Linked DNA regions of Tamandua tetradactyla. The protein of the gene in region 3 interacts with the protein of the main gene of each other region in a pairwise test. Links are inferred from orthologs where the notes say so. Each region holds a gene or a part of one and is shown on either strand. Other genes may lie near its edges.

Region 1 (10,383 bases), on a different chromosome or scaffold from region 3:
GAGGAAGTTACCTTTCTATCTCAATTTTTCTGAGTGTTTTTTTTAATCAAGAAAAGGTACCAGATTTTGTCAAATTCCTTTTCTGCATCATTTGAGATAATTTTTTTTTAATTGATTCTGTCCATGCAGGATATTGGATCGGCTTTCTTATGTTGCACTACTCTTGCATTTCTGTGATGTCTCATTTGATATGGTATATGTTTCTGTTTCCTTTGCTGCTCAAGCAAATACCATGAAATGGGTTGATTTGAACAGTGGGAATTTAACGGCTCATGGTTTTGAGGCTAAGAGACCTTCAAATTAAGGCCTCATCAAGGCAATGTTTTTTCCTTCAGACTGGCATTCTGGGCTGGCTGCCAGCAATCCTTGGTCCCTGGCTTATGCATAGCAGCCTCTCCTGGTCTCTCCATTCTCTCCCAGTTTTTATGGGCTCTCAACTTCTCACTGCTCCCTCTAGTATGGCCCACGGCTTAGACAGAAACCCACTGGAATCAGAAGCTGGAAGCAATGGAACTTGGAACAAGTTTCAAGACATCAGCCTTTTTTGAGCCAAGGTATCTTTCTCTGGATGCCTCAGTTTGGACATTTTTATGGCCTTAGAACTGTAAATTTGTAACTTAATAAATTCCCTTTTTAAAAGCCATTCCATTTCTGGTATATTGTATTCTGGAGGATTTAATAAATTAAAACCACCTGAGGCAAAATTGTAGTGCTCCCCCCCTGTCTTTTCAGCACATGCATCTTGCTCTGGACATGTGCTCAGTGCTCTAGGAATCCCTATGCACAAGGAAAACAATGTCTCAGTTCTCGAGGAAACGGGACGAGCTGCTGCACTGTATGTCCTACAGCTGGCACTCCTTTGCCCCAGGTAGCTGTGATCTGACCGCTCTCCTTCATAACTCCAGCGGATGCTCTGTGAGCCTCTTCTGGGTGCACAGCAAGTCCCTGGACTGTGAGCCTGTGACCCGCGTCCTGGCTCGGGCCTTCTGACTGCCCCAGCCAGACTAGCCCAGATGTCCGTGCACCCTAGCATGTCCACAAAGGTTACCCTGCTCCCTCCGCAGCAGAGACCAGGAGCGCATGGTAGGGCTGCATTACCGCTCTGGTCTGAGGGGATGGGGTGGGGGTGGGGTGCAGGAGCAAGGTTCCCAGGAGACCCTACCATTTTAGGTGGCGTTTCTTGGTTTAGTTCACCCTGTTACTGTAATCCACTACTATTTTCTGGGGCTTTGAGGAAAATGTTTCTATCGGTTGTACTTGTTCAAACCTTCTGTGGGGGAATGGGGTCCTGGGGCTTCTTACTTGCCGTCCTCACTTAGGCCTCCTTCATTGTGAAGTATTTCCCCACATTCACCCCCTCCTTTAACAGTGACTTTCTGAAGAGTTTAGTCCAATGACCTTATAGAACAGAGGACACTGGATTTGTGTGATTGTTCCCCCCGATATTTTTTTACTTGTTCCTTTGGCCCCTCTATTTCTGGTAAAGGGGGTGTTATTTTAAGCCTCGACCTGCTTCAGGTTAAATACTTTTGACAAGAAGACGTCACAGGAGGTGGTGCAGGTCGTCCCATGATGCTGTTGGATGACTTGCTTGACGTCGTGACCACCAGATTTACTCAGCCTTTATAAAGCTTTCTTCTCCACTCAGAAACTGGCAAGTACTTTGCTGAGTAACACTTGGGAAACTTATAAATATCTAGCTCCCATTAGCCTTTCACTTACTGATTTGAACATCCAGAGGTAATCTTTTCATGAATCAATTCCCAATTGCTCAGCAAAATAGTAATTTTCTAATTTTTCAGTTTTTTTCCTATTCATCATTTGACATTCTTCAGTAAAAAACAGCTTTTTTGTGGTTTATGCATTTATTTTCTGTACATTAATTACATTAATTCATTCAACAAACACTGAGCACTCAGTTTTTGCCAGGCACTGTGATAGATGCTGGGATAGAGACCTAAGTCCCCATCCTAGACCCCCCAGAACTCAGATTCCTTTGTAGGGCAGACACGTGAATAAGCAAATATATTGCAAGATGACAGCACTGTAATAAATATAATGAATGTTTGCTGAGCTCCCACTATGTGCCAGAAACCATCTGGGGCTGGGGATATAATTGCGTAAGCACTGGACTTGCAGTCAAGAACTTATACACAAGCATTGGGGGAAAAAGTTGAGTATTGATTGTAATTGGGGACAGAGGTGGGAAAATTTAACTTTGCCTGAGGTAGTCATGGAAGACTTCCCAGAGGAGGTGATGTTTGAGCTGATTCGTAACTACTGAATAGGTGTTTTTCAAGTGAAGGCATGGTGAGGTGGAAGACGTGGGGGGCTAGAGAAAGGGCTTTCTGGTCAGAGGAAACAAGCATTTGCAATGAATAAAAGCATTACTACATCTGAGAGAGAGGAAAGAGATGGAAAGGTCGGATCATAAAAGGACTTCTATACCTTGCTTAGGAGTTTGCATTTCATTCTGTTTAGACACTGGGCCTTCATGCAGAGGACTAACACTGGAAGTTAGTGTTTTAGAATGGTTATTCAATAGTAATGAGGAAAATGGATTTCTTGGGGGAGTGTGGGTATTTTAGTCTGCCAAAGCTGCCGGAACGCAACATACCAGAGATGGCTTGGCTTTTAATAAAAGGGGATTTATTTAGTTAAAAACATATAGTTCTTCAGAAGAAAGGCAGCTAACTTTCCACTGAGGTTCTTTCTTAGGTGGGAAGGCACAGGGTGATGTCTGCTGGCCTTCTCTCCAGGCCTCTGGGTTCCAACAACTTTCCCCGGGGTGATTCCTTTCCACATCTCCAAAGGCCTGTGCTGAGGTGAGGTATGCTGAGCTGCTTGGGCTGTGCTACCTTGTGCTCTCTCATTTAAGCTTCCAGCCAATTAAATCATATGTCATTCATTGCAGCAGGCACACCTCCTAGCCGACTACAGATGTAATCAGCAACAGATGAGCTTTACATGCCATTGGCTCATGTTCACAGCAACAGAACTAGGCACCTTCACCTGGCCAAGTTGACACCTGACCCTACCTACCACAGTGGGCAAGAATGTTGCTAGGGAAAAGTTAGGAGACTGATCCAATTACCTGAAAGGAAAATGATGAGTGCTTGAACTAAAATCATTGGCGTTGAGAATGGAGAAAAAGGGATGGAATTAAGAAAAACCTAGGAAATAGAATCTAGAGATCTGTAGCAAGTGAACTGGAGAAGAGTGGAATTCAGAGTGACTACTAGGCCTCTGAGTTCAGTTACTTGGTAGGTACAGTGCTGACGGTATTAACATAGATAAGGGCCATAGGAAATTGCCCAGCATGGTCCTTTGCTAATTTTTAGGTTACTGTTTGAAGAAGCCACCACTGTCCACAGTGTAGACTGAAAGCTTGTTGACTTGTGCAAGTCTTCTGAGGCTAGGAATACAGTCTTGGCACAACGACTTTGACAGAAGAGCCCTGAACCCCGTTTGTTTAAGTGACCAACCACATGTATCACTTTCTTTTCTTCTTTTTCTCATTTCATCTTTTTACACTTTTTCTTATTGTATAGTCTAACATATATAAAAAGCAAAGAAATAAAAAAGCAATTGTTTTCCAAGCACTCTTCAACAAGTGGTTACAGAACAGATCACAGAGGTTGTCATGGGCTACCATACGATCCTCTCACATTTTTCCTTCTAGCTGCTTTGGAATATAGGAGGCTAGAGGGCTTACATACTTTTTATCATCACAATCAACTTTTTAAAAAAACAGCTTTTGGGTGGGCCACAGCGGCTCAGTGCCAGAGTTCTCACTTGCCATGCTGGAGACCCGGGTTTGATTCCTGGTGCCTGCCCATGCAAAAACAAAAAATAACAGTTTTTCTTCACCAAATGCCATTCTTTCTAAGAAAAAGCAGAGTGAATGCTTTACCTTACTTTTAATCACCAATTTTCAGAGTAATGAGACTGAGTTTTTTCTGTCTTATTATTATTTTTTTGACTATCATTATGGACTCCAGGGATTTCATGTATTCACTGTTACAATACTTAGAATTGTCACTTTTTCTATGGTGCTCAAATTGTTCTCCATTTGCTCAAAGAGAGTAGTTTTAAGTTAGCGCCTATGTTTTGACAGTCCCCATTTATATTACTTTTTGGCACTATAAGATGTCCCAGGTTCCCTTGAATTTGCCTGCCCCAGGCACTTCTCAAAGGAGCCCTGTGAGGAGCAGCTCTTTCAGGCTTGGGCAACTCTAACGTCCCTGCAGTGACATGTTCTGGGTAAGAAGCTACAGTCATAATACCGACAGTGTACAACAATTGGCACTTGGGCTGATAACTCCACTGAGGTAGAGAATAAAACTTTCATATTCTTCCTGGAACACAATAATGCGGATTAACTTTTTGCAGCTTTTTGTCTATTGCGTTATTGCAGTTACTTATGTATCTGATTCTCATGTGCCTGCTTAGGTGATCAGCTCCTAGAGGAAAAGTTGTCTTAGGCACCCGCACAACCTCAACACCCGCTGTTCACAGGCGTGAAATCCGCGTTCGGGGACTGGTCTTCCTCTTCGTGAGCGCACAACTGCTCTGGGTGTGGAAGGCAGCCAGCGGCCTTGCTAGAATTCTGTTTAAAATCAGAGCCACCAGCTTTGTGACTTTCAGTCGATGGTCTCCACGCCAACCAGCCTGGTTTGCAGGGGCCTCCTTTGCTTACACCCGCTCTGGGGGGCATTCCTGGTAAGTGGGGTGGGAAGCCCCAAAAGGGTGCGCTTACCTTGCTGAGGGTCGCACCTCATTCTCCTGTCACATCGTTTCTTTCCACTTCAGACTGAGTCGCTGTCGCTCTGCTCCAGGCGGAAAAGGCTGAAGTGTTTCCTTTTTCTCCCGCTTAACTGGCATCAGTACTTTAATCTGCAAAAGCGAATGACTGGTTTCTATTTAATTTTTAAGCATAAAACCATTTTTTAAAATCCTCGCAGATTTTTTGTCACTATTTGGCTTATTTTTGCCAAGTAAATAAAATACAGTACAGTTCTTCAGGTCTCGTTCTGGTCCATCCAATCTTCCCAAGCATTTTTAAATCGTTTTCACAGCTCTTTGGCTCCCCAAGCACACGGATCCCCAGGGGTCCCGGGTTAGGGAACCATTCCAGCTCTGCCCGGACTCCCCTCCAGGCGGGGGCGGGAAACGCCGCGCCCAGGAAACGCCTGGTGCCAGGCTCCGGGGGCCGCGGGAGGGCACGCAGGCCACGCCAGGCCCACGGGAAGGCACGCGGGTCCCGGCGGCTCGCGGCTCCCGGCTCCGGCGGGCCAGGCCTCCGCCCCGTGCAGCGCGGCCCGCGGCGCGCCCGAACCCGGAACGGCGGGCCCCTTCCTTCCGGCCCCTTCCGGCCCGCGGCGCGCGCAGCCCCGAGGCGCGGCGGCCCGGCCCGGACATGCGGCTGCCCCCGTGGCTGGGCCTCGCCGCGCTCGGCTTCCCCGCGGCCCGCCCCCCGCTGCCGGCCGCCCGCAGCGCCGCGATCGTGGAGCGCGCCCGAGCCGGTGAGCGCGGGGCGGGCGGGGGCGGCTGCGCGCCGGGGCCGGGCCTGGGGGCGGGTGGCCCGGCGCGCCCGCAGCTCCGAGCGGAAGGCGCCCCACCCGGGCCCGGCGTGGGCTGGTCTCGCGCGGCCCGCCGCTTTCGCTCTTGCCCCCGGGTCTGGCCTCCCCGCGAGCCCCGCGGCGTGGCCTCCGGGGTGTTGGGGGTTCGGGGCCCGTCCGCCCAGCGTGGGCCGCGCGGGACCCAGCCCCAGGCGCGGAGGCGCGGAGGAGCCGAGGCAGCGCGCGGGCCGCGGACGGAGGCCTCGTGGGCGGTCACGGCCGTGTCCCCGCGCCCGCTGGCCCACGCGGCGCACAAGGAGGAAGTCTAACGTGTTTATGGAAGTCACTGTTTCCTTAAATCCCTTTTCAGATATTGCTGACTGACTTCAGTGCGTTTCCACCTGGGAGTGTGGGCGGTTTTCCTTCCCTTTTTGTGACACGGGTGGGTGGGTGAGTGGGTGGGTGGTCGCGCAGCTGTGCGCACCCGGGCCGAGCTGGCGCTGGGGCATCCCCTACCCTTGATTGTCTTGTCCTTTCTCCCAGAGGGACTGGAAGAGCGCATGCTTAATGAAGTAGTGTTTACTACCCGCCCGTGACGCGTGGATGTGCTTTTCCTCCGGTATCGTCCTGTCTTTGATGAAGTCATTGACTAAAGTGTGCATGTGTTTGGATAATAAGCATACATTTAAATGTGTGTTTTCATTGTATCGTTTCAATATCTGCATCTGTTGTTTTTCTTATAAATGTAATTCTTGTCCACTAAAATGTTTGTTATTCTATAACTTAAGAATAAAGTTATGGATAACTTAATAGAGCAAAGTGTATTTCAAGTTCTAGTCTCCCGTGGACTTTGATGTCAGAACTGCATCCAGGAGGTTAGTATTTTACTTAACAAGGTGGAAAATGATGAACAAGTCACCGTGTCCTTCTGTTTTTATTTCTATGTGACATGGGAGGGAGTGCCGCCTCTTCACCTCTGTGACATTGAGAGAATGTATGATGGGCTCAGGGGTGGCCACCAGCCTCGGCAGGTTGCCTGCTGGTGCGTGAAGCACCCCGTGGGTCACTGACCTTTCCCCAGTCACCCAGAAGTCAGCGTGAGAGCTGAGCAGGCGCCAGGCATTAGAGGGCCGAGGGACCCCGCATGTGAGCTGAGCAGGCGCCAGGTGTTGGGGGGCAGCGGGGACCCCCATGTGAGCTGAGCAGGCGCCAGGCGTTTGGGTGCAGAGGGCCAGGCCTGGAGCTGTGGCCGCGTGGGCTGCCCGGGAGAGGCTTGCAAGGTCCCCCTTCGGCTTTCCGAGCGCTGCGCCCTGGCAGGGGATTGCAAGCTCCCTGTGCTCACTGAGCTGGGGGTCTGTACAGTAGGGTGCTTGGTCCGGCGGGGAGGCCCCTGGGGAGGCCGCCACCCACCCCACGGCACAGGCCTGCCCTGATCCACCTTGAAAAGATCCAGCGTGGAACCGAGGTGTGCAGGAAGGCACAGGACACACGAGAAGCGTGCTTGCCAGCCTTGGCTGATGTGGCCTCACCTGCTGGGCTCCTAACACCTGCCAGCCGACCCGACTCCCACACGTTCTCATTTGATTGGCCTGGCTGCTGGTTCTGAGAGCGCCCAGGTGCCGCTGATGTGCAGCCAGGACTTGGGCTCCCTCACCCCGGCAGGGGCAGCTGGGAGCTGAGTGCCCCATGTGGGCGCACCCAACGTCTGCTTGCTGGCCCCCAGCGCCCAGGGCAGTGCGCCCTCCTCGCTGACCACCCTCCTCCTGTGTCCCAGGAGCTGCACAGCACATGCTCTCTAAACTTTTAATGATGGTTGAGCTCAAGATAAGCTATGAAGTTTAATATTAAAATATTTTTTTCATTGAAAAAAAAAAGACAATTTGTCATTCTATATGATTCATCTCCTTGCCCTCAAAGTGTGATGTTGGGGTACGGAAGTTTCCTTCCCTGTCCTGTTCCCACGGGAGAGGCGGACAGGTGAAAGCTGGCACTGAGATGGCAGTGTCCTGAGGTTCTGCGTTCTAGGATAACGCCGGGAAAAGCAAGCTGGATTTACTGCGTTCTGATTTCCATTCAGCCTTGTGCATGCTTGATACTGCACAAATATTCTTTTGTGGTTAGCTTTTTCCTTGAGATCAAACATAAGGTAATTACTTTATCAGGTTCACAGGGACGGTAAGGATCCTTTAGCATGTGACCCTAAGGTACAAAAAAGTATTGGTCTGTTAATAGTTTTGTTCTAGCATAAACTGCATTTTATAGTTTTAAATTTAAGCATAAACACCAGAAAGGAAACATTTATTTGTTCTCGTGTAGTTCAGTATTTGTGAGTTTACGAGCAGCCTCCCAGTAGGCTGGTGTTTGTTGAACGCCTGTGTGCCAGCCACTCTTCATGAATTTGAACTGTACTATAAACAGCAGCGTTGTTTATGGTGCTCTGTTGCTTTTTCCCATTGTTTGTTTTGGTATTGAAGTTGTCTAATTTATAAACAAAACCAGCAACAACTTTGTTTTTGTTCTTTTCTTTTATACAAAAGATAAAGGTACCTGTGTGTGTTTATGTGTGGGGGTATGGTGTGCGAAAGACAATAAAGCTGACTCAAACTGTGATAAAAATTTAGATTTTTTGGTGTATGCGTTGACTTTGACCTATCGTGAGAGTTATGTTGTATGCTGTAAACCATGGCCTCTATAGAATGCTTCTAGGTATTATATTTGAAAACGTAGGATTGACAGAATGAAATACATCACTTCTTTAATATTTTGAGTGGTAAATAAGAGTTTGCTTTGGTTTGTTAAGCTGCTGGAATGCTGTATGCCACAAATGGGTTGGCTTTTGTTTTTCGGTTGGCTACTATAAAAGAAATTTATTAAGTTGCAAGTTTACAGTTCTAAAGCCATAACAATGTCCAAACTAAGGCATCGGCCTCAAGAATGGCCCGTGGATCTGGAGCACCCTGCCAGCAGGGGGCACGTGGCCTCTGCCGGTCCCTTGGCTTCTGGTTTCAAACAGCTTCCCTGGGGCGTTTTCCTTGTGCAGCTGCAGACATCTGGGCCGCATGTTGGCTCCGAAGCTCTCTCCAAAATGTTTCCTCTTTTAAAGAACTCCAGTAAACGAATCAAGACCCACCTTGAATGGGTGGAGTCACATCTCCCTCTGATCACACGGTCGCACCCACACTGGGTGTGCCACATGCCGGGGAAACAGTCCAAAGTTTCCACCCCACTGTATTGATTCAGGATTAAAGGAACATGGCTGCCCACAAGAGTGGAGCAGGAAAAAGGACATGGCTTTCCTGGGTACACAACAGCTGCAAACCGCACAGTGTTTAATAAAAGCATAAAGTAAAATCACTGGAGTATCCCAGGGTTTTGTTCAGTCCTAGATCATTCAACATTTGTTTCTGCCAGCGCAGGCGTGGAGAGGTCCTGGGAGACCACTGATAATGAACTTTATCTGTTTAGACACAGACACCCCTTCCTTTAACTTTCTCCCTAGACTACTATTTTCCCACCCGTTATAAGGAACACAAAACCAAACAAAGCACCAAATGCAAAATGTGGTTTTAATGTTAGTGCCTGCCTGTGAGACGGAGCTATTAGGGAAACTGTAGAAGCTTTTCCTTCTTTAATCATTGAATTTCCAGAAGAGTGTGTTTAGAGCCATATATCTTTAACTGCATTTTCGGCGTTAAATGTAATGATGGAAAGAAGTTACTTAAATGGCTTTACTGAGGGGAAGATCAGAACTTACACAAATGAGAACCCATAAGTGAGGTGATATTGTTAAAAATAAACATGAAAGAAGACTAGCAAAATCTTGGTTTGTTTTCCAAAAGATTGAAAAAATTATAGTTTTTGAATTAAGAAACTACTGTAAAAATTTTTGAGAATTGCTGATTAACTCAGTTTTCATCTAACTCTGAGTTTAGTAGTGTGTTTTAAAGAATTATTAAAGCTTTGGAAGCCTCTTGTTTAAAATAAAAAGCGTTTATACAAATTTAGAATATGGGGTAAATAATGTTTATGTAAGTAGCTTTAGAATATGTCTGAATACAAATTGCATCATTTCTTAGGTGTTAGTTGGTATTAAGTTAAATTAGGTGAATTGTTTTGGTTTAGTATATGAATTAGAAAACCAACAAGTTAAATAATACATTTTTCTTTTTATATGTTGAAGAAGGAGGAAATTCCAATGAGTGTGAAAATACGCCGAGAAGAAAAATGTCAGACGACCTTGAAGCCAGTATTATGAATTCTTTGGTGGATATGCCATTTGCAACTGTAGATATAGAAGATGATTGTGGAAGTAAGTACTTCGTTAAATAAATATTATTTAGAAGCACCAAGTAAATTTAGTTACATATATATATTTTCTTAATAAATTACTTCAACTGATTTACTTGTCATGCTTTGAATTTTGGTTGTTAATTAGTAGTTGTCTGTATGTTGGTATTTATTGACAGAATAATCACAGATAATATTAAGAGATGTCTCATGAAATTTGCAACTGGCTCACTCTGCAGCTTATAACCTCCTTCTGCAGGTTGCGGTCCTGGCCTTCATGGGGAGTAGATCCCCTCCCCAAGGACCCTGGAGCCACTGCTAATCCCACGGCCCCACCCATTTAACGGGTGTCTCCCGGGCGTTTGACAAAAGTGCTGGGCATTTTGCTGGGCACTGGGAAGGTCCTGAGGCAGCAGTCCAGACTTGTCTCACCCCCCTGGAGCTTAACAGGTGGCCGTTGACGGCAGTGGGACTTTCAGTCAAGTGTGCACCCATTGTATCCCTTCGGTTCTTGAGATCCTGTCCACAGAGACAG
Region 2 (9,695 bases), on a different chromosome or scaffold from region 3:
TCCTTTCCATCCCTCCCCGATTGGATTGACCCTTATTCAGGAATAGGCCCTGACTGGCCTAAGTGAATCAGAGTAACACCATCCTCCTTGCCACACGAGTGGGCAATGACCCATGCTTAAGCCCACCAGGGCATGATATTTCCTGGCCAGAGTGATTATTCAAGGGTGAATGGGTATATAAGTTGGTCCAGTCAAAGTGAAGTCTAGGAATTTATTCCAATGGTCAAGAGAAGCTTGCCTTCTTCCTCCTTATCACATGGTAACATAATACAAAATAAAATTTCCCACTTTACCCAGACATTTCAGTGGCATTAATTACTTCACAATGTTGTGCAACTATCACCACCATCCATTACCAAAAATTTTCCCTCACCCCAACAGAAGTTCCATCCATTGAACATCAAACTCCCCATTCTCCCTCTCTCCCCAGCCCCTGGTACTCTGCACTCCACTTTCTGACTCTGTGTATTTGCATTGTTATTGCATATAAATGAAATCATAACAGTATGCCCTTTTGTGTCTGGCTTATTTCACTCAACATATCTTCAAGTTTCATCAATGTTCATATACATGTATTCCTCACAAATGCCTGTGGTCACATGTATTAACTTCATTCTCTTTTATGGTTGAATAATATTCCATTGTACGCATATACCTCATCTTGTCTGTCCATTCATCTGTTTATGGACACTTGGGTTATTTCCATCTTTTGGCAATTGTGAAAAATGCTGAATGAAACTGATGTACAAATATTTTCTGAGTCCCTATTTCGGTTCTCTAGGGTATATACCTAGAAGTAGGATTGCCGGAACATATGGTAATTCTGTTTAACTTTCTGAGAGTTCACTAAATTGTTTTCAATAGAGGCTGTACCATTTTATATTCCCACCAACAAGGTATTTGTTGCATCCTCACCAACACTTATTTTCCGTTCTTAAAAAAATAATGTTCTGGGTGGGCCACGGTGGCTCAGCAGGTAAGAGTGCTTGCCTGCCATGCCCGAGAACCCGGGTTCGGTTCCCGGTGCCTGCCTATGTAAAAAAAAATAATTAAAAAAAATAATGTTCATCCTAGTGGGTGTGAAGTGCTATTTCACTGTAGTTTTGATTTGCATTTCTGTTATGACTAATAATAATATTGAACATATTTTCACATGCTTATTGGCCATTTGTATATTTTCTTTGGAGAAATGTCTATGCAAATCCTTGGCCTATTTCTTAATTGGGTTGTTTGTCTTTTTTATGTTTCTCTTCCTCTTGTGGTATAAGGATGTGATATCTGGAACTGTTACAGCCAAGCCATATCCGGCTCCAGGAGGGGAGCCAAGAAAGAAGCAGCTAACCTGAAGGAGGACATTAGCAAGAATATTAAAGAGAACGGATCCCTTTATTATGTCATGATCTGTGGATCAAACTGAACAAAAAGCCCACCCATCTCTTGATTTTTCATGAGCCAATAAATACCCTTTATCATTGAGCCAATTTGTTAATTTCTTTCTACCTGCAATTGGAAGAACCCTTAACAGGCTTTCTCCACAAATCGAATGGCCTTCATTTCCACTGCCCTTTCAACCACCCACTCCAATGGCCACCCATCCTAGGTCTAGTCTTCCTCTGCATCCCTTGTAGTGTTAATCTCAAATGCACTATTTTCTCCAACTACAACTCTTGAGCTCTCCAACTATCTCATTTCTTCAATCTCACTGAGACTCCTTCCCCTTAATGTCTTTCCATATTCTCTCAATCCAATAGCACCCTCCTCTATATTCATTCTTTCTTTATTTGGCCCGGACTAAATTTGTGGATTTACCTCCACAAATCTCCAACTCATTATAATATTCCGTCTGTCTTTCCCTGGCTCAATCATCCAGGTGACTACTTCTGGAAGAAGGAAATCACTACCTTTTGTATTGGCTCCATCACAAATTCATGATCTATCATTGCACCCAGCCTCCGTGTTGCTCAGCAAGTCCATGTGCCACACGCACAGAAGATAATTAGTAAATGCTTTTCAAATGAGTATTTTTGAATGGGTATCCAGTAAGCTATTCACAGTACCTGCTTCAAACCTTCCTTACTTTCTCAAGCCACCTCCTCCTATTTCCTCTCTTAGCAAATCAAACAACCTAACCTTCTACTTCAGGGTGAAAGTTAGAGTCCAAAACACAGGGAATTCTCTCACCTTAATCCCACCTATCTCCCTATTGACTTACTAGTATTGGTGCTCATCCTTGAGTCTTCTCATTTACCCAGATATCCACTTATTCTATGAATATGAGTGCTGAGAACATCCCAGGTACTGTGCTCTGCTTGGCCTTGGGAATACACCTGGAGACTAGGTGAAGGGCATAAACGACAAATGCCAACAGCCTGAGTAAAAAGGACATAGGATGCCTTTGAAGATATGAAAGCTAATAGGTGTGGCTGGTACTGATGGCTAATGATATCGAACATCTTTTCATGTGCTTACTGGCCATTCGTATATCTTCTTTGGAGAAATGTTTATTCAAGTCCTTTGCCCCTATTTTTATTGTGTCTGTCTTCATTGTTGAGTTGGGGTTCTTTATATATTCAGGCTATTAAACCCTTATTAGATATATGATTTACAAATATTTTTTCCTGTTCTATGGTTTGCCTTTTCACTCTCTTGATAGTGTCCTTTGACGCACAAGTTTTAAATTCTGATGAAGTTCAATTTACTTATTTTTTTCTTTTTTTATCTGTGTCCTCCAGGTTTTTCATGTATTACTTTCCTTTCAAGAGATGCCCTTTCACATGACTCCCACAGACTTCAGGGACGTGCCTGAAACTGTAGAGCTGTGTTTCAGTAGCCTTGATTCTTAAAGACAATTCTATAAGTATATAGCTTTTACACTGTGACTATGTGATTGTGAAAACCTTGTGTCTGATGCCCCTTTTTTCCAGGGTATGAACAAATGAGTAAAAAAATAAGGAAACATAAATAAACAAATAATAAGGGGGGGATAAGAGGTAAAAATAAAATTGGGTAGATTGAAATATTAGTGGTCACTGTGGGGGGTAAGGGGCATGGGATGTATGAGTTTTTTCTTTTTCTTTTTTTTTCTGGAGTGATGCAAATGTTCTAAAAATGATCATGGTGATGAATATACTATGTGATGATACTGTGAGCCATTGAGTGTATACTGTAGATGGACTGTACATATGTGAAAATTTCTCAATAAAAATATTTAAAAAGAAAGAGGTGCCCTTGCTAATTATGTTGAGATTAATATCACAATAAATATGCAACCACTAATCACCTGTAGGTGGGGAGGGAGGAGAGGAGAAAGAATAGGCATTTGTCACAGATAACCCACATGATGATGTCTAAATCACCTGTATCCAGTTAAAACTGTGTTCAGTCCAGTTTTGTTATTCATGTACAGGAAATGAAGACTAGTCCTCCAACCTGTTTGTGGGAAGGGTTTGCATCTTTTCTCCTTACACTACTTCTCAATAAGGCAGCCAGAAACACAAATAATTCAGCTGATGGCATAACCCCTCATTTTGCAAAGTGCCAAGTGTGGGCTACAGCTAGGAGAAAGGAGAAGAAAAAAATCAGATAAACCACATCTTCAAAATCAACTTCTCTGTGTGTTGCAAAAAAAAACGTGTAACGTGGCCCTTCCCCAAACAGTCTAGTAACTAAACAATTGTGAGAAACGTATTCTTTCATCCTATTTCTTCAAACCTACTAATCATGCATGGATATACAATGGGGGAAGATACTACCTACTTTTTATCTTGGCAAGATTAAATGAAATTTATTTTACCTAGACAAACACTGTGCCAAACCTGTTCTATTTTACAAATATTAGCATAACCCGATCATCTTAATAACCCAATGAGATTTCATTGTCCTCACTTTATAGATGGAGAAGTTGAGATACAGAGAGATAACCTGCCTGAGGTTATTAGCATGTGGCAAAAGGAAGATTTAAAAAAAAAAAAAAGAGGATTCAAATCTGAGCAGGCTGGCCTGAGTACTCATACTTTTAGCTTTTCTTATGCTGTGTCTCTGCGATAATTCAGTAGCTAAATGCGGTACCTGGTCTATGAAGGCCTGGAGGAACAGAATGGCTGCTAACATCACCATCATCATTGCTATTTCTGTTAATACAATCTACAATCCATTTTCTTTCCAAGAAGCTTTCCCCAACCATTGACCACAGAACGTCATTTAGAGCTCATAAAGTTCATCTGTGCCTCACACAACTAACTCCCTGCCTCCCATGGGATTCCTGAAATCCTTCAGTGACTGAAAAGGGAGCCCGACCGGGAAGGTTCTCTCCCTCACCCAGTACAGAGGCAGAGGAGACCCTCGATACATGACAAGCGGGAATGGGTGAAAATGTCTGGGGAGAATGAGTGAAGTCCAATGCTAGGCAGAGGTGTCACAGAATGAGGGGTGGAGAGCACAGCTGCACCCCAAAGAAGCGTCCGAAGAGCGGGAAAGTGGCACAGATGTGGCCGCAGGAAGAAGCTTCGACCTGGAAGAGACTGGACAACCTCTGAAGCAGGTGTTCGGGCTTAATTCCAAATTTTAAAGAACGATCAGCTTTTTAAAAAATAATACAACTTTGGAAACTACTGCTCAAAGTCACACAGCAACTCAGTGACCTCTGTTCTATCTCTACCAAACTACTAGTGGAAGACGAGACCGCAGCCACTCTCCCCGGGCCAGTAAGTGCTTCCTGTTATCTGACCTCCATCCCGCCTGCTGCAGCTTCACCATCTCGCCTGGTTCTGGGTCCTTCTCGCATCAGCAGCCCTGAAAAATATCCTCGCCCTCACTAAACGAGAAACTCACTAGAACCAAGGGGGCTATCCTGAGGGACCTCGCAGGATTTTAGGGAGAGGGGTGAAGTTCTTAATTGCTCACTGCCTTAAAGTTCCGGAATAAAAAGCGCGCTCGAAAAGCTCTGAGTCACCAACTGCCTTCAAAGGCCGGAAGCCACCGCCCCGCATCCGCTTCCACTTGGAGAGCCGCGTTTCCCCGAGCGGCGGACGCCCGCGGACTACAGCTCCCGGCATGCCCCGAGGCGGCCGGAATTAACCCTTCAGGGACCTGGCCGCGTTGCGCGCCGCCCCGTCCCCGCCCCCGTCCCTTCCTCGGACCCCGCTGGGTGAGTTTGCGCGGGCTGGGGCGGGGTCCCTTCCTTTATTTCAGACTTAGGGATGTGTGTGTACTCTCTAGAAGGAATGAGGCCTAATTTTCCTAAAATGGGACCACTTGCGGTTGCGAGCTTCAGAAGCTTTTTTTTTTTAACCACCCAGCATCAATTCTCTGAACCCCAGGGCCTAAATGGAATCACTGCTCTCTTTCCCTGAATGCTTCCTAAATCCTCCCATCCTTCCCCCAGGTCAAAAGTAGCCAGCAACCTGTCCCATCTACCAAACATCCCCAACTCCCACCCTTCCCCAGCGCCCCCAGCAAGGCTTGTGACCTGGCACCTGACTCAGGGCTTTTATTTCCCATCTGGTTGCGGGGTGAGTACTCTCTCTGGGAGCCCATAGAATTACTCCCCCACATCCTTTTGGATTAGAGAAGGTCATTGCCACCCAGAGCCAGCTCCCCACCCCCAGGTGCCACCACGGTCTCAGTGGGGTCGGCTCGCACCCCATAGGTTGCCCGACTTGAATGACCGTAGGCTTGTGAAAAAGGGTTCCTTCCTTGGCAGTAGCAGTGGCAAGTACCTGATCCTTGTCCCTACCTCCACCTCTAAAACAGTACTGGAAAGAGGAGACAAAGGCGGGGAAGAGATGCCGCACTCTCCTTACTGTTACCACTGTTTATATTGTGTACAGCTCCAGTTCTGGGCTAGGCGGTGGCCGGGGACTACAGGTGCTGGATGTTAGGCTGTGGGATCAGCTACATCCCCCCTCCCCCATGGTCAGAGGCGGGTGAAAGGATTGCTTGTTTTTTTTTTTCACTTTTCTCTGCCCCAGCCCCTATGTTAATTTACCCCAATTCACAATGCCCCCTGCCCTGCCTCAGCCTTCAAGAGTCTAAAGCTGCTACTCAAATAGTCAGGGGCCTAGGGGCCTGTAATGCCTGGATCCCCTTCTTTGGTACTGGCATGTATCCTGTCCTCACCCCGGAGGTTAACTCCCCTATCCTGGACAGTCTCTGGCTTCCTTTCCCTGCCCCCAAAGGGGACATTGTTTCAGCCAGTGTTTGGGGGGGGCGGGGGCAGTGGGCAGAGCCAGGAAGACCTTGGGGCAGGAGTCATGAACCTTAGCAGGCCAAGGGAGTGAGGGCAGACAGGCATATCTCTCCTCTACCTCACCCTGGCCACGGCCAACTGGCTCCCTGCCACTGCCCACCCCCCCCTTTGACATCCCAGACTCCCTGGCTATTTAAACAGAGATGGATGCCCCCATTGACACACTGTCCTTTGGCCACCGGACATCATGCCTCCCAAGAAGGATGTTCCCGTGAAGAAGCCACTGGGGCCCTCTTTCTCCAAACCTGCTGCCAAGCCAACAGCAGCCCCTCCAGCCAAGCCCGCAGCAGCAGCCCCTCCAGCCAAGCCCACAGCTGAGCCAGCTGTTCCCACTGCCCCTAAAAAACCCGAGGAGCCCCCCATCGACCTCTCCAAAGTGGTGGTGAGTCCTCAAAAAATGAGGATAGAATTTGGAGGGGGTGGTAAGAGGGTGGGATACAACCTAGGGGATTAGGGGGTATGTGGAAAGTACAAAATCAATGAGCACTGAGATGAGATTGGGGGTCCCCTTGGTCCCCTATTTGGAAGCATCCAGGCTCGTGTCTCTGCTTTTGTGTTTGCTGTTCTAATTTATAACAAGTGTGAATGTTTGTGTACATGTTGCATGCATGTGTGCATACACACATTCACTGATCCTCTGCTGGAGATGGGGACTTTTAGGATGGGAACATCTGGGTTCTAAGAATAGTCTCAAGGTGAAGGGAGATTGCTGCTGCTTGTCCCTGGCTTGCAGTTCAACTCAAAAGGCCATAGCTTTGAACCCTTGGAGGAGAGGCTGAAGAGGACAGGCTTGTTAGACAATCACAGCTGGGGGCAGGGGGTAAATTTAGCCTTTGTTCAGCCCCCAGTTATGTGAGGGATGCAGGGCTCAGGGCAGTGGAGGGAGGGGAACAGGTGGCATGGGATTAAGCCTGCTCCCAGGAAACCCTCCCCCCATAATTCCTCCTCTTGGGATTCTCCCAAGGCCCAGAGCCGGGAATGGGACTGAGGTAGTTGGGCTTCAAGCCTGTTCCCTTTGGGCCCCTCCCCAGAAGTGGCTGCCAGTTGGTTGGGAGGAGTGTTGGAGAGGGATTTATTAAACCCTGTCATCCCTCCTCACCTGCTCTTTTCTTCCACAGATCGAGTTTAACAAGGATCAGCTGGAGGGTGAGGAAAAACTGCCCCCTTAGCCCACTGTCTAGCCCCAAGCCCCTGCTGAGATACTCTCTCTATTCTCTTAACTCCAGTCCCGACCTTGAAGCCTCCCACACTAGTCGTCTTTGTGTCCCTTGTTCTGCCCAGCTCTAGCTCATAATTTCAGAACCTTCTTCGTGTCTGGTGATGGTAACTCCTGGTCAACACTGATCCTTCTCTATAACCTCAGAGTTCAAGGAGGCCTTTGAGCTGTTCGACCGAGTAGGGGATGGCAAGATCCAGTTCAGCCAGTGTGGCGATGTGATGAGGGCCCTAGGCCAGAACCCCACTAACGCCGAGGTGCTCAGGGTCCTGGGAAACCCCAAAAGTGATGGTGAGGGGATGCTTTGAACATTGTGGGGTTTTAAGTCGATGGTGGAAACCAGGAATGTTGATAATATGGCTGAGGATGCTGGGTGGGTCTCAGAACTTCAAACACAGGGGAAGAAAAACATCCTGAAATGTTAAACAGGGTGGAGAGGATCAAAGCCTTCCTGGTAGGGATGGGAGCTGGATCCCGATGACACCACAGTGACCTCTCTCTTACCTCGCCAGAGTTGAGGTCCCGGCGTGTGGACTTCGAGACTTTCCTACCCATGCTCCAGGCGGTGGCCAAGAACCGGGACCAAGGCACATATGAGGACTACTTAGAGGGGCTTCGAGTGTTTGACAAGGAGGGAAACGGCAAAGTCATGGGAGCAGAGCTCAGACACGTCCTCACCACCCTGGGTGAGGCAGAGATCATCTTTTGTGGGACGGAGAGGTTGGCCAAGTAGGCAGAGCCAGGAAGGGGCAGAATCTGAAGGGTTTCAAAGGCTAAAATGAGGGAGGATTGAAGATGCCTCCCAAAAGACAGAGGAAAGGGGATGAGATGGGAGACCTGAGTTTCCTTTTTGGAACAGATACATCTGCTCTGTGATCTGGATCAAGTCTCTTAACCCTCAGGAATTCAGTTTCCTGCTTATCAAAGCTTTCACCAGTCCCCGAGCACTTTGTTATTGGAAAGCAATACAGTAACAGATGCAAGGCACTGCCATTGCGGAAGGACGATTCCTTTGGGGATAGTTGCTGTGGGGAACTGGGTTGGTGAGAGAGGAAAGGCAGGGACTAAGACGCTGTGTCTGGGCTTCAGGAGAGAGGATGACTGAGGAGGAGGTGGAGACTGTTCTGGCAGGACATGAGGACAGCAACGGCTGCATCAACTATGAAGGTGAGGGGCCAGAGGGGAGCCCAGCCCACCATGTGGGTGGGGGAGGGGTGGTTAAGGTCTGGGTTATTTAAGGAACGGCTTCTGAAGCCCCTCTTGCCCACTGTCTCTGCAGCCTTCCTGAAGCACATCCTAAGCGTCTGAGCTTCCACAGGTAGGACAACCTCCCATCCCCACACTTGAGAAGCAAGTCTCCTTCCCCTCCCACAACCAGCGCAGAAAAGCAGGGAAGCGCGGTCTCCTGCCCTGTTGCTGCGCGTGCGCCAGGGCTTGGCAACTTTCTTCTTTTTCCACAGATCCCGTGGGGCCGAGCACTGGCCACCCCCGCATCCCCCGGCGGAAGCATGTTTCTGCCACTAGGAGGCCACCTATGTTTCCAAATAAAGAGACTGTTCCTCCCTTGGCCTCGGACTGTTGTTTTCTTTAGAGGTGGGGGAGGGAGGAACGGGAGGGCCCATTCTCTCCTTTCCAAAATCTGGTATCCTCTGATCGTTCTCCTGCTCGGAAGAGCAGATTCATTGCGCCCCACCCCCACCCACTTCCGCGGTTTCTGTGCCCCAGGTAGGGCTATTTTGGAGAAAGGAGCAGCCGCGGCCCTTCCACCTACCTCATCTGCATAAACCCAGGGCAGTGTTCCTATTGGCTAAGTCAACTAACGGTGACGTCATTGGGACGTACTAAGACTAGGGTTGGGCCTGGAGTAGAAGCCATTACTGCAGGAAAAGGTCCCGCAGAGCTGAGCAGTCAAGATGGTGGGGCCCGGATCCTGCGAGGATGAGTGGGATTTGGGGCGAGACGGGAAGCCTGGGTGGGGGACGAGGAGAAAACAGCGGGAGGGGTCAAAGGAAGCCTGAGGGCCTGAATGACTGGAGGTGGGATTGGAAAGTCTGGGGTTCTGTCCTGTTGGGAAGCGTAGGAGTTTGTGGTTCAGTTTGTGGGACTGGGATAGAAGATGGGGGACTGGAGTTGAGATGCTGACCGCTCCCTTCTTCTCTGAGCAGTGTGACTTCACGGAGGACCAGACCGCAGGTAATTTCTGACTCCTATTGAGGTCACCCTTAGGGTGAC
Region 3 (10,740 bases):
TTCACTTTCAATTCATCCTGCAAATCACTGATAGCATTAAAATCTAAAGAAGGTCTCTTAGCTTCACCCAATAACATTCCTTCCTTTAAAAAGTCTTAAAATACAAGAACTAGAAGAGCTTACCTTATATCTAGTACATGCTATGTTTAAGTGTTCGCTGAATTGAAATGAAATACGAACAGCCTGCATCAGATTTTAGATCACTCTGGGTTAGATATCAGGACTGTATATTGACAGAACTAACAAGGCAATCCAATAAAATTTCCATAAACTTCCTTGTCACATATATATTCAAGTCATTGTGCAAACAACCAACTCCCATATTAACTCCACCTCTGCCCAGAGCACCTTCTTCACTTGTCTAACCCTCACCTCTACATCCCATAACTAAATAGCTACTTCTAATTAAGATATAATCAGGTTTCCCCACTTGACCCAGTCCCAAGCATGCTTCCCTGCACCTACTTACTCTAGCTTTGGCTCCTAAACATACTATTTCTACATGTTTCTCTTCTAGACAGAGACCCCTTTGCAGGATCTCCCTGCTCACAAAGGCTGCTAATACTAGCCTTCTTGAATATTCTCACAGCTACTTTCTTGAGTAAAGCCTTCAACATCCATTGTGTGGATATCGTAATAGCTGCTAGCAGGTCCTACTACCAAACCTTCCACAGTGTTGCCAGAATAACCTTTCTAAAACATAAATCCAATCATGATTATTTTGCTGCTTAAATCCATTCATCCAGAATAAAATATACACTCCTTAGCAGTGGCAGACAAGTGTCCTGACCTTTCCAACTTCACCTTCCATCACCCACCATCAGTCACATATTTCAGGCGTTTCAGACAAACCAACCTGCTTTGCCATTTTTCCAATGATCCATGCTCACTCATGCCTTTGCCAGGCTACTTGGTTTGCCTTACTCATCTTTCAAGATAAGGCTTCAACTAAGTTAACTATCCCTACAAAGCACTCCCATAGCAACCTCCACTTCTCCATACTTATCATATACAATTACAAATGCTTATTTTTTTGTGTGCCCTCCCCTAACTATAAGCTTCATTACGGGAGAGACCACATCTGTTTCATACATCACTGTATCGCCAGGACCTAGTATGGGGCCTGGCACACCAGGCATGAAACAAATACTTGAGTGACTGATGAAATAATAATACAAGTAATAATAGGAGCAGTAATAATAACGATAGAACAAGGAATAGCAACAGTAAGAGCAGCTAACATTTCATCAGTATTCACTGTGTGCCAGGCACGATTCTAAGTACTTTACATGTGTTAATTTTTTTTAATTCTCAAAGTACAATAATCCAAAAAATATTATTTCTACTCTACAAATAAACTGTGGTGCAGAAAGATTAAATAATATGCCCAAGGGTACATAGCCACTAAATGACAGAGTCAGAACCTGAACCCAGGCAATGATTCCAGAGCCTTGGTTCTTAGCCACTTCTCCATACCAATGCACAAATGACTCAGCTCAAGTGTCACCTTCTGTAGAAACCTCTCCTAACCATCCAATCTGAGTCTACTGTTTCTCTTCTGTATTCCAACACCCCTATATCATAGCACATATCACACTAGACCACGTGACTTAGTGTTTGTCTATTCCCATTATTCCATGGGCTCCTTACAGACAGGGACTTTGACTGAGCATTATTTTTCTTTGTATCCTCAGTGCCTAGCAAATGGTTAATAATAATACCAGTGACATTTGGGGATGGATGGATGAATAACCTGAGCTTAAGCATAAGAATTCATTCTCAAGTAGTCCAGCAGGTGGCAGAAGAAGAAAAGAGCTGAACAGAGGATGAGGCGCCTTACCTTTCACACTGGTCCCCTTCCTCATGACGGTTTCCTGATCTTGGCAAAGGGACACAGTCACTGTTGCTCCGGGTAGCCCATAGCCCCAGATCACTGCCCCAGCAGGCTCCTTCTGCAGCACCATGTAGTCACTGATGTATGAAGCAAAGCGAAAACCAACACCTAAAAATTTCAGCAAAATATTTAAAAAGGTATCGCTAGGAAATTCATCACCAAATGAATCAGGTGAAACAGCAAAGAGCATATAGCCTTTACACAAGAGAATTTGGATGTGCCCACTCCTTTTAATCATCTCAAACTAGATCTTATTCCTCCTAATTAGGTAAGCCGCATAACATGAAAAGACTCCAACAATATGCATCACAGAACAAAATGACCAATGACAAAAATTCAACGAACATAGGGCAACTAGCATACCAAATGCCTCTTTCCCTCGGCGCTCTCAATCTTCCTTTACTCTTAGGCCTGGCCCCAAATGCTTGATTCTCCCCCTGCCCAAATCACTCAAATGCTCCTTTTATGTGCCCTACAGATGGTGTTTATGAGGAAAATAAACCACTTCCTTCCCCTACTTTCTATTATCACTCCCACTCCAAGTAGCTGAGAATAAGGAAGCATGCCTCTCTCCAATACAGTCTTCTCTAATCTTTTTTTCCACTCTTTATTTCCCCCTTCTCCATCCTAAACCAGTGTTAATTTCCCTCAAATAATTCCCCTTGTTCTGGTTTCTTGATAATCCACTATACTGCACTGAAAATTTTAAATAAGCATTTATGAATGTCTGTGACAAATCTGCATCCTCCAAAGGTAAATTCAGATGAACAAAGATGCAAAATAAGGTCAGATATAGAAGATCAAAATGCCTGACCAAAGCTCTTTCATCCCAATTTTACCCATTTCTCAAGCTAAATTATACAAAAAAAACTAGAGAAAGCACACTTGAAATTGTGGATTCTATTCTAGAGATTCATTAGCAAGACTGAATAAGAATTCACTTTAACAAGAGCATTCCTATTTTTAACATCCAACCTATATCGAATCATTTGATTATAAGAAGCATTGATCCAAATTGTGTCAGTGAGTTCCTCATCAAAATTTAACAAGAAAAAGGAAATTTCTTAAATTGTATCCCAATTTGTCTGGACAAAACAGACAAATATCCCTAGAATAAAATAATTTAAAAAGATCTTTTAAGTGTCTTAACAATGACCAAAAAAAAAGACAGGAAAGAGAATTAGAATTAACGAGGTTGACATTGTCCTCCCTAGAAGTTACAAACGATGACAAACGATGAAGGCCCCTTAGGCTGTACTGAACAGGGCAGAGCAGCTACTGGAGTCTCTCCTACACATTCTTAGTGGCCTATTTATCCTGCCCTTTGAATAAGCCCAGTCCCCCAAATCCTCAACCCTTTCATATGAGCTAGTTTGATCATAAAACCTACATAACACTCAAAGATTGCCCAGAAGGTCTACTGGGCTGGAGAGGAACAGCTACCGTGAGCAAAAGGCTCCAAGAAGAGACAACACCCCAGAATTGCATAAGCACGTTGGCAGCCTGCTGTGGAGGAAGCAGGGAGACACGTGTGGGAGGCCCTTGTCTTGGGTAGGTGCTTCATATAGAACAAAAAATAAAAACCAAAGGCATAAGAGCTAAGGAGAGAGAAGGCGGGAGTAGGGGAGTGAAATGAGGAAAACTGGCTGCTGCTTGCATATGAACCTAGAACAAGCGAAGGGTTCCACAGGCATAAGGCCAGTGGCCCACAGGCCAGGAGTAAATACCTTTCCAAGTCAGTCTATTATCACCAACACCCACTTACTGAACTTCTCTGTGCAGGGCCCTATTCTGGGTTAAAGAATTTTAGAGGTGAAAAAGATCTTACACACCCTAAAACACAACTCTCAGGTTACTTACTGATCAAGAGACTGAGACCCTCATGTTGAATAAAATAAGCAAGACACAAAAAGCCAAATTTTGTATGATCTCATGAAATAATTAGAAAAGCAAACTTATAGTGTCAGACTCTAGAATACAAGTCACCAGTGGACAGGGTGGGGATAAGTAATAAGGAGTTAAGGCTTAAAATGTAGAGTTTCTATTTGGAAAAATGGAAAGGTTTGGGTAACAGATGGTGGTAATGGTGACACCACAATTGTGAACGTAATTTACAGCACTGAATTATATATTTGAGTGTGGATAAAGAGGAAATTTTAGGCCATATACATGTTACTAGAAAAAAGACAGTTAAAAATAATCTATGGAACAGCACAACACAAACAGTGAACCCTAAATTAAACCATGGACCATAGTTAATAGTACAATTATTAAAATGTGTATTCATCAAGTGTAACAAATGTTCCACACTAATGCAAGGTGTTAATAATAGGGTGGTATATGGGAACCCTGTACTTATGCATAATTTTTCTGTAAACCCACAATTTCTCTAATAAAAAAGAGAGCAAGTGAGATCCAAGAAGATCAAACAATTTTTTAAAATTACTAGGTAGCTAGTGTATCTGTTATATATGGGTGTACCTATATGCCAGGCACTATTTTAAGCACTGGGGACATAACAGTAGAAAAAAAAAAGATTAAAATCTTTGCCAGCAGGTAGCTTATAGTCTATTTGGGAAACTTACATGTGGCAGGAACAGTGCTAAACAGATGACAGACATTAAATTTATTCACCTAGCTAATTAATGAGGAGGCTAACAACTACCTAATTCCAAAGTTACTGTAATTCTCACTCCGCCACAATTTGATACTGATGGGAATACAGTCATATTCCCCGTCTTGGTAAAATTCCAAGCTAATAAGGATATACACTAGAACATTAGCAAGGAATTGAGCTATGAACCAAGTAGGAGATGGGAAGGATAGGGGCAGGGCTAAGGGCTAGTAATGGTTTTAGACACAGTTAACATTTGCTTTTTTTTTTAACACCTTCAATTTTTTCAATTGGAGGTTGGAGTAGAAAAATAGGAATTGATGTTGTGAGGAAGAGACCATTATTAAAAGTTGACTGACAAAATTAGTACTGTGTGACTTCTGACGGGGAGTTGGCAGATTGGGATGGGAAGGTACACTAAGCACATCTCAATTATACTGACAATGTTATAGTTCTTAAATTAGGTGGTGTATTCCTGGATGTTTGTCTTATTGTTTCGCCCTTGCATATGTTTTTGTATGACTCAATATTAAATGATAAAAATGCAATTACACATAAAGGGAAAATGTCAGAAAATGCAATCAAGGTAGAAGGAAAATTCAGAGCACTAATAAATGAAAAATACAATGTTAAGGAAGGTGATATAAGGACATGAAAAAAAAAGAAGATAAAATACTGATGTTAAAATTAACAGAAAAACTATTAGTTAGAATGGTGCACCTCTCCTCTTTACTTTCTCCCCACCTCATAAAATGGAATTCAAAGGTCACTGCTGGGGAGAGGAGTCAGGGAATGATATGCAGAGTGCTACACATTTGCACTTCTATTAAATCCAGAAAAAGCATTGTATGGGCTGATACGTTTGAAACTGGGTAGTTTTGCAGGTTCTTATGTAGAGCCGTGGTTATTTTTCTGCCCTCTATTCTCCTACTTCAATTTTCAATTCTGAAAAGACAATCTTTGGAGTCCACTCTGAGTGGTTTGAAGAGAAAGAATAGCTTTAGCGTTATCACTTTACTTTGTATGAAACAGAGTCCATCTCTGGTTTCTCCATTCTTGTTGCTCAGTGTCCAGCCTGCCTACTGCAAAAAGAGGGGTATTCAAAGGTAGGATCCTGCCTGAACAATAGCCCAATGCCAGTCACCCTCCTGCCCAATGCCGTGTACACTATCCCACCACCATTATCTGTAACCGTGCCAAAAATCAAAACAGAGCCTTAAATATTCTGAGGTAGTGAGGGGGTTGTATTTCTTAGCCCTAATCACCACTTAAACTAGTAAAATTTAATTCCCCCACAGAACCCAGCCTGAAGCAAACCCTCCCCAAGGGTACCACTGAGGAGGCAGCACTGAAATGTTTTGGATGATTCAGTCACCTGTTTCCAAATATTATCTAACTAGCTTCGCCCCCTCCACTCCGAGCTCCCCTGAAGTGATTCAAAGACTGAAGGCCTCGGTCTGGGCATCTTTGGGCCTCCCCTCACGCTGCCTCGGAAGGAGGACAACCTATAACGACCCAGCAAGGGAGAGGAGAAGGCAGAAGGGCTGGAGCTCCGGCCCACCAGGCACCAGCAGGCTAGGCCTGGGCCTGGGCGATCGCGGCTCCTGGCAGGGTTCCTGTCCCGACCTTGAGAAGGACGGGTCGAGATCCCGCAGAGGGCGCCGAATCTCAGAGCGGGCACAGGCGAAGGGGCAGGGGTTGGGCCGGGCCCGGCCGCCTCACCTGCACTGCTGCCGGCCCACAGGATTAATGGAAGCACCAGCCCAAGAAAAAATCCCGGCGCGACCATGTTCGCCAGGATCCGCCACCACCGGTGCTCTGGACCCGGAAGTGGACAGTGGGAGGGGGCGGGGCAAAGGTGGGTGGGGCAGAGGCGGGGCGACCTAACTCCACCCTTTCCAGGCCATTCAGTCCGCGAAGCTGCCCGCGGCCGCAGGGCGAGGCCGTGCCTTCCCCCCTCTCGGCCGCCGTAATTCCAGAAAACGGTTACCCAGCAACGAGCAAAAACAACTGGAACCATCCGCACCAGCTCTGAGAAAAAGAAGAGGTGAGGTGGTTTCTCCTACTTCCTCTCCAAAACCGAGACCTCGCTTCTCCCCCTCGTTTCTCCTATTCCTTCAAGACCCCGTACACATTCCTAGAAGTCTGCGGCAGATAGGAAGTCGAGACAGCCCATTCTGCAAGAGTCTAAATCCCAGATCCTCGATGTTCCGCCCTACTAGACCAGGTCTTCCCCTCTATCTGCCCCCCAAGCCCCACGTTCGTTCAGAGTCTCGCCAGTCCTTGTTTTCACAACCCTAGATTGGTTCAATACCTCATCTCCTGACCTCTCAAAGAAAGAAAAATCCCTCCACAGTTTGAGCCTCATTAAATCGCCTAATCCGCTACCTGGATGCCTATCCACGACCTCCGCCTTTACTAAGCATTAACACACACGCACCCACATACAAACTGACGAGATCCCTAAGTGTCTTTTTATGCTCAGTAACCCAGTCCGTTGCTTAGCAACTCCCCTTAATCTAGCCCTTATATTCCAAGACAGGAGGAGATGGCCTGGTCACAACAAAACCAGAGAATATAGAGGAATCTTTAGAGACTGGTATTTCAAAATCATGGCCTTGTGCCCCCTGCCCCATTCCAGAACATACAGAATGTTTAGAGGTTATAGATCACACTTCAGGAGAGGCAGCAAGGGAAAGATTAAGCGTGAATTTTCTTCATTCAACAAGTTAGAGAAATTTCTAGAACCTAGTTGCTACTTTATAAAAGAAATGTTTTATTTTAGATATAGTTATGTGTATAATTTCCTAAACAGGATCTTCTCAGTATTTTATAATGAATTCAATTAAACTAGCTTTTTAAAAATCATTCTCTCTAAATTCCTGTGAGATAGTAAAAATTATCCTCATCATTTAAGGAAAGAAACACTTTCCTTATCTTTTTATCTCTGAGGGACAGAGATTAAAAAAAGAGAGAGAGAGAGAAGTACTCAGTGTCACAGTGAAAATTTTCTGATTTTTGTAATTTTTTAAAAGTGCTTGGCCTATTAGATGTATTTGTAATATTATAATTTATAGTGGAGAATTCAAAACTCTTTGGAAGAAATTAATTGACTAGCATTGTACTGGAAAAAAATATATTGGAAGTCCAGAAAATTTGGTTGTCAGAAGTAATCTGTTGTCGTAGTTGTGATTATATAAAGTAAAACCAGGCAAATTTAAAGACAGTACTCTTTAATGAAATTCTAGGTACAATAGGCATTCCTTCCAAAGAGATGTCGATTCCATTCTCCAACACTCACTACCGAATTCCACAAGGATTTGGGAATCTTCTTGAAGGGCTGACACGCGAGATTCTGAGGGAGCAACCGGACAATATACCAGCTTTTGCAGCAGCATATTTTGAGAACCTTCTAGAGAAAAGAGAAAGTAAGCTTCTTAAATATAGGCTTTTTATTTTTAAAAAATTTCAAAGACTAAACATTTGTTTATGGTTAAACTTGCTTAGGACCCTCCCCATTTTACAGAAAACCTTTTTGAAGCCCATGGCTTCTAATAACAGTTCTTGCTATGTGAAACTTGCAATTTTGACAGTTTCTCTTAAATAAGTTTCATATAAATGAAGGTTGCCAACTTATTATCCAGACCTCTGTCATTGTATATCTCATGGACACACTGAGTGGAAGGGGAGTGCAAGAGTTAGGTATACAGTCTACCCTCCACTTTCCAGCAAACTGTTCCCTCTACATCCCAGGGAGTTCACTGTTTATTCTTCCTGGGAGGAGAATTTGTGGTTTTCTTTACATTTTTATTCTTCTTTGAAAGTGTTATAAGTGTGGTAAAAAAAAAATCATTCTAAGCTTTTTAGATAAAATAAATTGGTATTCACTGGGAGTGTTTGAAACTTCTACAATGAAAGGTACATAGGCAAATGCTTTCAAAGTGAATTGCCCAGTTTGGGAAGACAAATTATATTCTTCCTCTATAGTCTCAAGGTCCCATCCAGCCCAGAGGCTGAGATCCATGTTAACAATGACTCTGTGATTGAAAGAAAAAGCAGAATTCCTTCACTTCCATAAATAAAATTTCCAAATGCCCAGCCTTGAAGTCATTACTATTAGGACCTGATCCAGTGGTCAAGATGGGAATTATTATCTACAAATTTATACCAAAAACCTATTCTTGACTAGAGCATCCTTTCTCTATAAATTGTTGTCATCATTACTTTGGATTATATTATTCCAAAAGACTAGTAATGGTGACTACGATGACCATAAGCAAACATTCCATTTTAAATCATTTTATAAAGAAGAGAAACCTACCTGAAGTTTGAATTCAAAGAATTTCTCCCAAATACGCTGTACAGCTACACTCCCTTGCCTTGTTTTCCATACTCTCACAGGGCTCAGAATCTCTGCCAATTTCCTGAATGTTGCTGGACTTTTCCATACCCAGTCAGTGTGAATATTTGTTGCACAACCTGAAACTTAAATGTCCACTAAAAACATTTTGATAAATTATCCATAGGTGGAAAAGTTATTAACAGAAATATTTGGGGTAAGAGATGAACTGTATGGCACTTTAATTTAATTTTGTTATTATAACATCGGTTTCATGCAATAGAAGTCTTTAGTCATTTATTTAATTTTAGAACTCAGGAACATCCCATTACAAAACATTTGAGTCACTGTTATCAGATCATGGTAATTAAAGCAATTGGTGATTCAATTTAATGGTCTCGGAATATTAGCTCTCTACTAACAAACAATGGGGAAAACCATTTGAAAAATATTAAGCAGTATGCCCAATTCCACCCATGTCAACCAAAGGTGAGTTATTAGACTGATGCATACTAACAGAATTTAGCCTCTCCAAATAGAGAGGGAAAAATCAGATCCTCTAAGCAATTCTCCCACAAGATATAAGAATTCTGTTGCCAGAATTCCTAGTCTTAACTTTGATTTTTGTGACAGGAAACATGTTAGTATATGATATAAATGATATCTCCGATCAGTAGGGAAAAGACGGACTTTTCAATAAATGATAATAGGATAAAGATGCAAAAAGGTAAAATTGGATCAAATCTTTACACCATATACTGGGATAAATTCCAAATTGATCGGAGAGTTAAACATTAAAAAAATGAATCCATACAAATACTAGAAGAAAATATGAGTCAATTTTTCTGTAACTTAAGAAAAAAACTTTGCTAGTTAGGATTCAAAACTCCAGAAACAATTAGAAAAACAGTTGATAGAACTGACAGAAGTCAATTTTACATGGTAAAAATTGCTGTAAGGAAAATAAAATTGCAAATTAGAAACTGAGAAAAAATTTGCAATTTTTATCACATTGGATTAATAAACCTAATAAATAGCTTGTAAAAACAGTAAAGAAAAAGTCACAGCCTTATAGAAAAAAATCGGCTAGACATATGAGAAGCAGTTTACACAAAATAAATGCAAATTGTCCTTAACATATGAAAATATACTTAAACTAATAACATAAGTCCAAGTCAAAACTACACTGAGATACCATCCCAATCCCTCCATCAGATTGGCAAAGTCCAAAAATTTGTCAACATACTCTATAGGCAGGGCTGTGGGGAAACAAGCACTTATATATATCGCTGGACGAAATATAAAATAGTTCAACTCCTCTAGACAGGAACTTGGCAATATCTACCAAAATTTTACATGTATTTATCCTTTGACCCAGAAGTTCCACTTCTAGGCTATTTATTGCGTCATTATTTGTGGAAATAACCCAAATGTCCATCATAGGGGACTGATTAAATAAACTAGAGTGCATCTATGGAATGGAATAATATGCAGTTCTATAAAAGAATAAGGAAGGTTTCTATATCATGCTATGGAGTGATCTTCAGGATATATTAAATAAATAAAGCAAGGTAGGGAACGTGTGTTTTGTAGGCTACTATTTGTCTAACAAAGGGGTTGATATACATGGCTTTATATTTTTTAAATGGAAAGATAAATCATTAAAAAACTAGTGGTTGCTCTAGGGGAGATGGGATTAGGATTGAAGGGGTAGGATAGAAGAAGCTAGACTTCTCGGAATATATTTGAATATATTTTGAATTTGAAATCATATAAGTATTTAACATAGTTTATAAAATTAAATTTTAAAAGTTTCTAAAGATTATATGGAAATTGAAACAAATGAACATAACTAGTATTGAATGGCTGTCATAACCACAAAGAAAGGCATTA

What was found.
Region 1: the proteins of SPA17 (region 3) and AKAP7 interact in a two-hybrid assay, tested with the Homo sapiens proteins (3 studies listed by BioGRID and IntAct). The two-hybrid records come from large-scale screens. The link is inferred for Tamandua tetradactyla from reciprocal best matches to the Homo sapiens genes SPA17 and AKAP7.
Region 2: the proteins of SPA17 (region 3) and MYL6B interact in binary tests that used the Homo sapiens proteins (3 or more experiments, as listed by UniProt). The two-hybrid records come from large-scale screens. The link is inferred for Tamandua tetradactyla from reciprocal best matches to the Homo sapiens genes SPA17 and MYL6B.

Annotation. Positions count from the first base shown.
Region 1 is NC_135331.1:192,691,106-192,701,488, forward strand, and holds the start of AKAP7 (A-kinase anchoring protein 7), read left to right. Parts: upstream 1-5,476; 5' UTR 5,477-5,525; intron 5,526-9,741; 5' UTR 9,742-9,785; coding exon 9,786-9,870; intron 9,871-10,383. UniProt on the Homo sapiens protein: Probably targets cAMP-dependent protein kinase (PKA) to the cellular membrane or cytoskeletal structures.
Region 2 is NC_135333.1:123,210,183-123,219,877, forward strand, and holds MYL6B (myosin light chain 6B), read left to right. Parts: upstream 1-5,016; 5' UTR 5,017-5,146; intron 5,147-5,383; exon of another isoform or gene 5,384-5,510; intron 5,511-6,388; 5' UTR 6,389-6,434; coding exon 6,435-6,629; intron 6,630-7,365; coding exon 7,366-7,393; intron 7,394-7,610; coding exon 7,611-7,754; intron 7,755-7,975; coding exon 7,976-8,149; intron 8,150-8,552; coding exon 8,553-8,630; intron 8,631-8,742; coding exon 8,743-8,771; 3' UTR 8,772-8,781; intron 8,782-8,923; 3' UTR 8,924-9,030; downstream 9,031-9,695. Other genes in the region: MYL6 (myosin light polypeptide 6), read left to right, coding at 9,599-9,656. UniProt on the Homo sapiens protein: Regulatory light chain of myosin. Does not bind calcium.
Region 3 is NC_135334.1:13,029,249-13,039,988, reverse strand, and holds the start of SPA17 (sperm surface protein Sp17), read left to right. Parts: upstream 1-6,568; 5' UTR 6,569-6,713; coding exon 6,714-6,735; intron 6,736-7,004; exon of another isoform or gene 7,005-7,107; intron 7,108-7,756; coding exon 7,757-7,936; intron 7,937-10,740. Other genes in the region: SIAE (sialate O-acetylesterase), read right to left, coding at 1,841-2,002, 6,231-6,297. UniProt on the Homo sapiens protein: Sperm surface zona pellucida binding protein. Helps to bind spermatozoa to the zona pellucida with high affinity. Might function in binding zona pellucida and carbohydrates.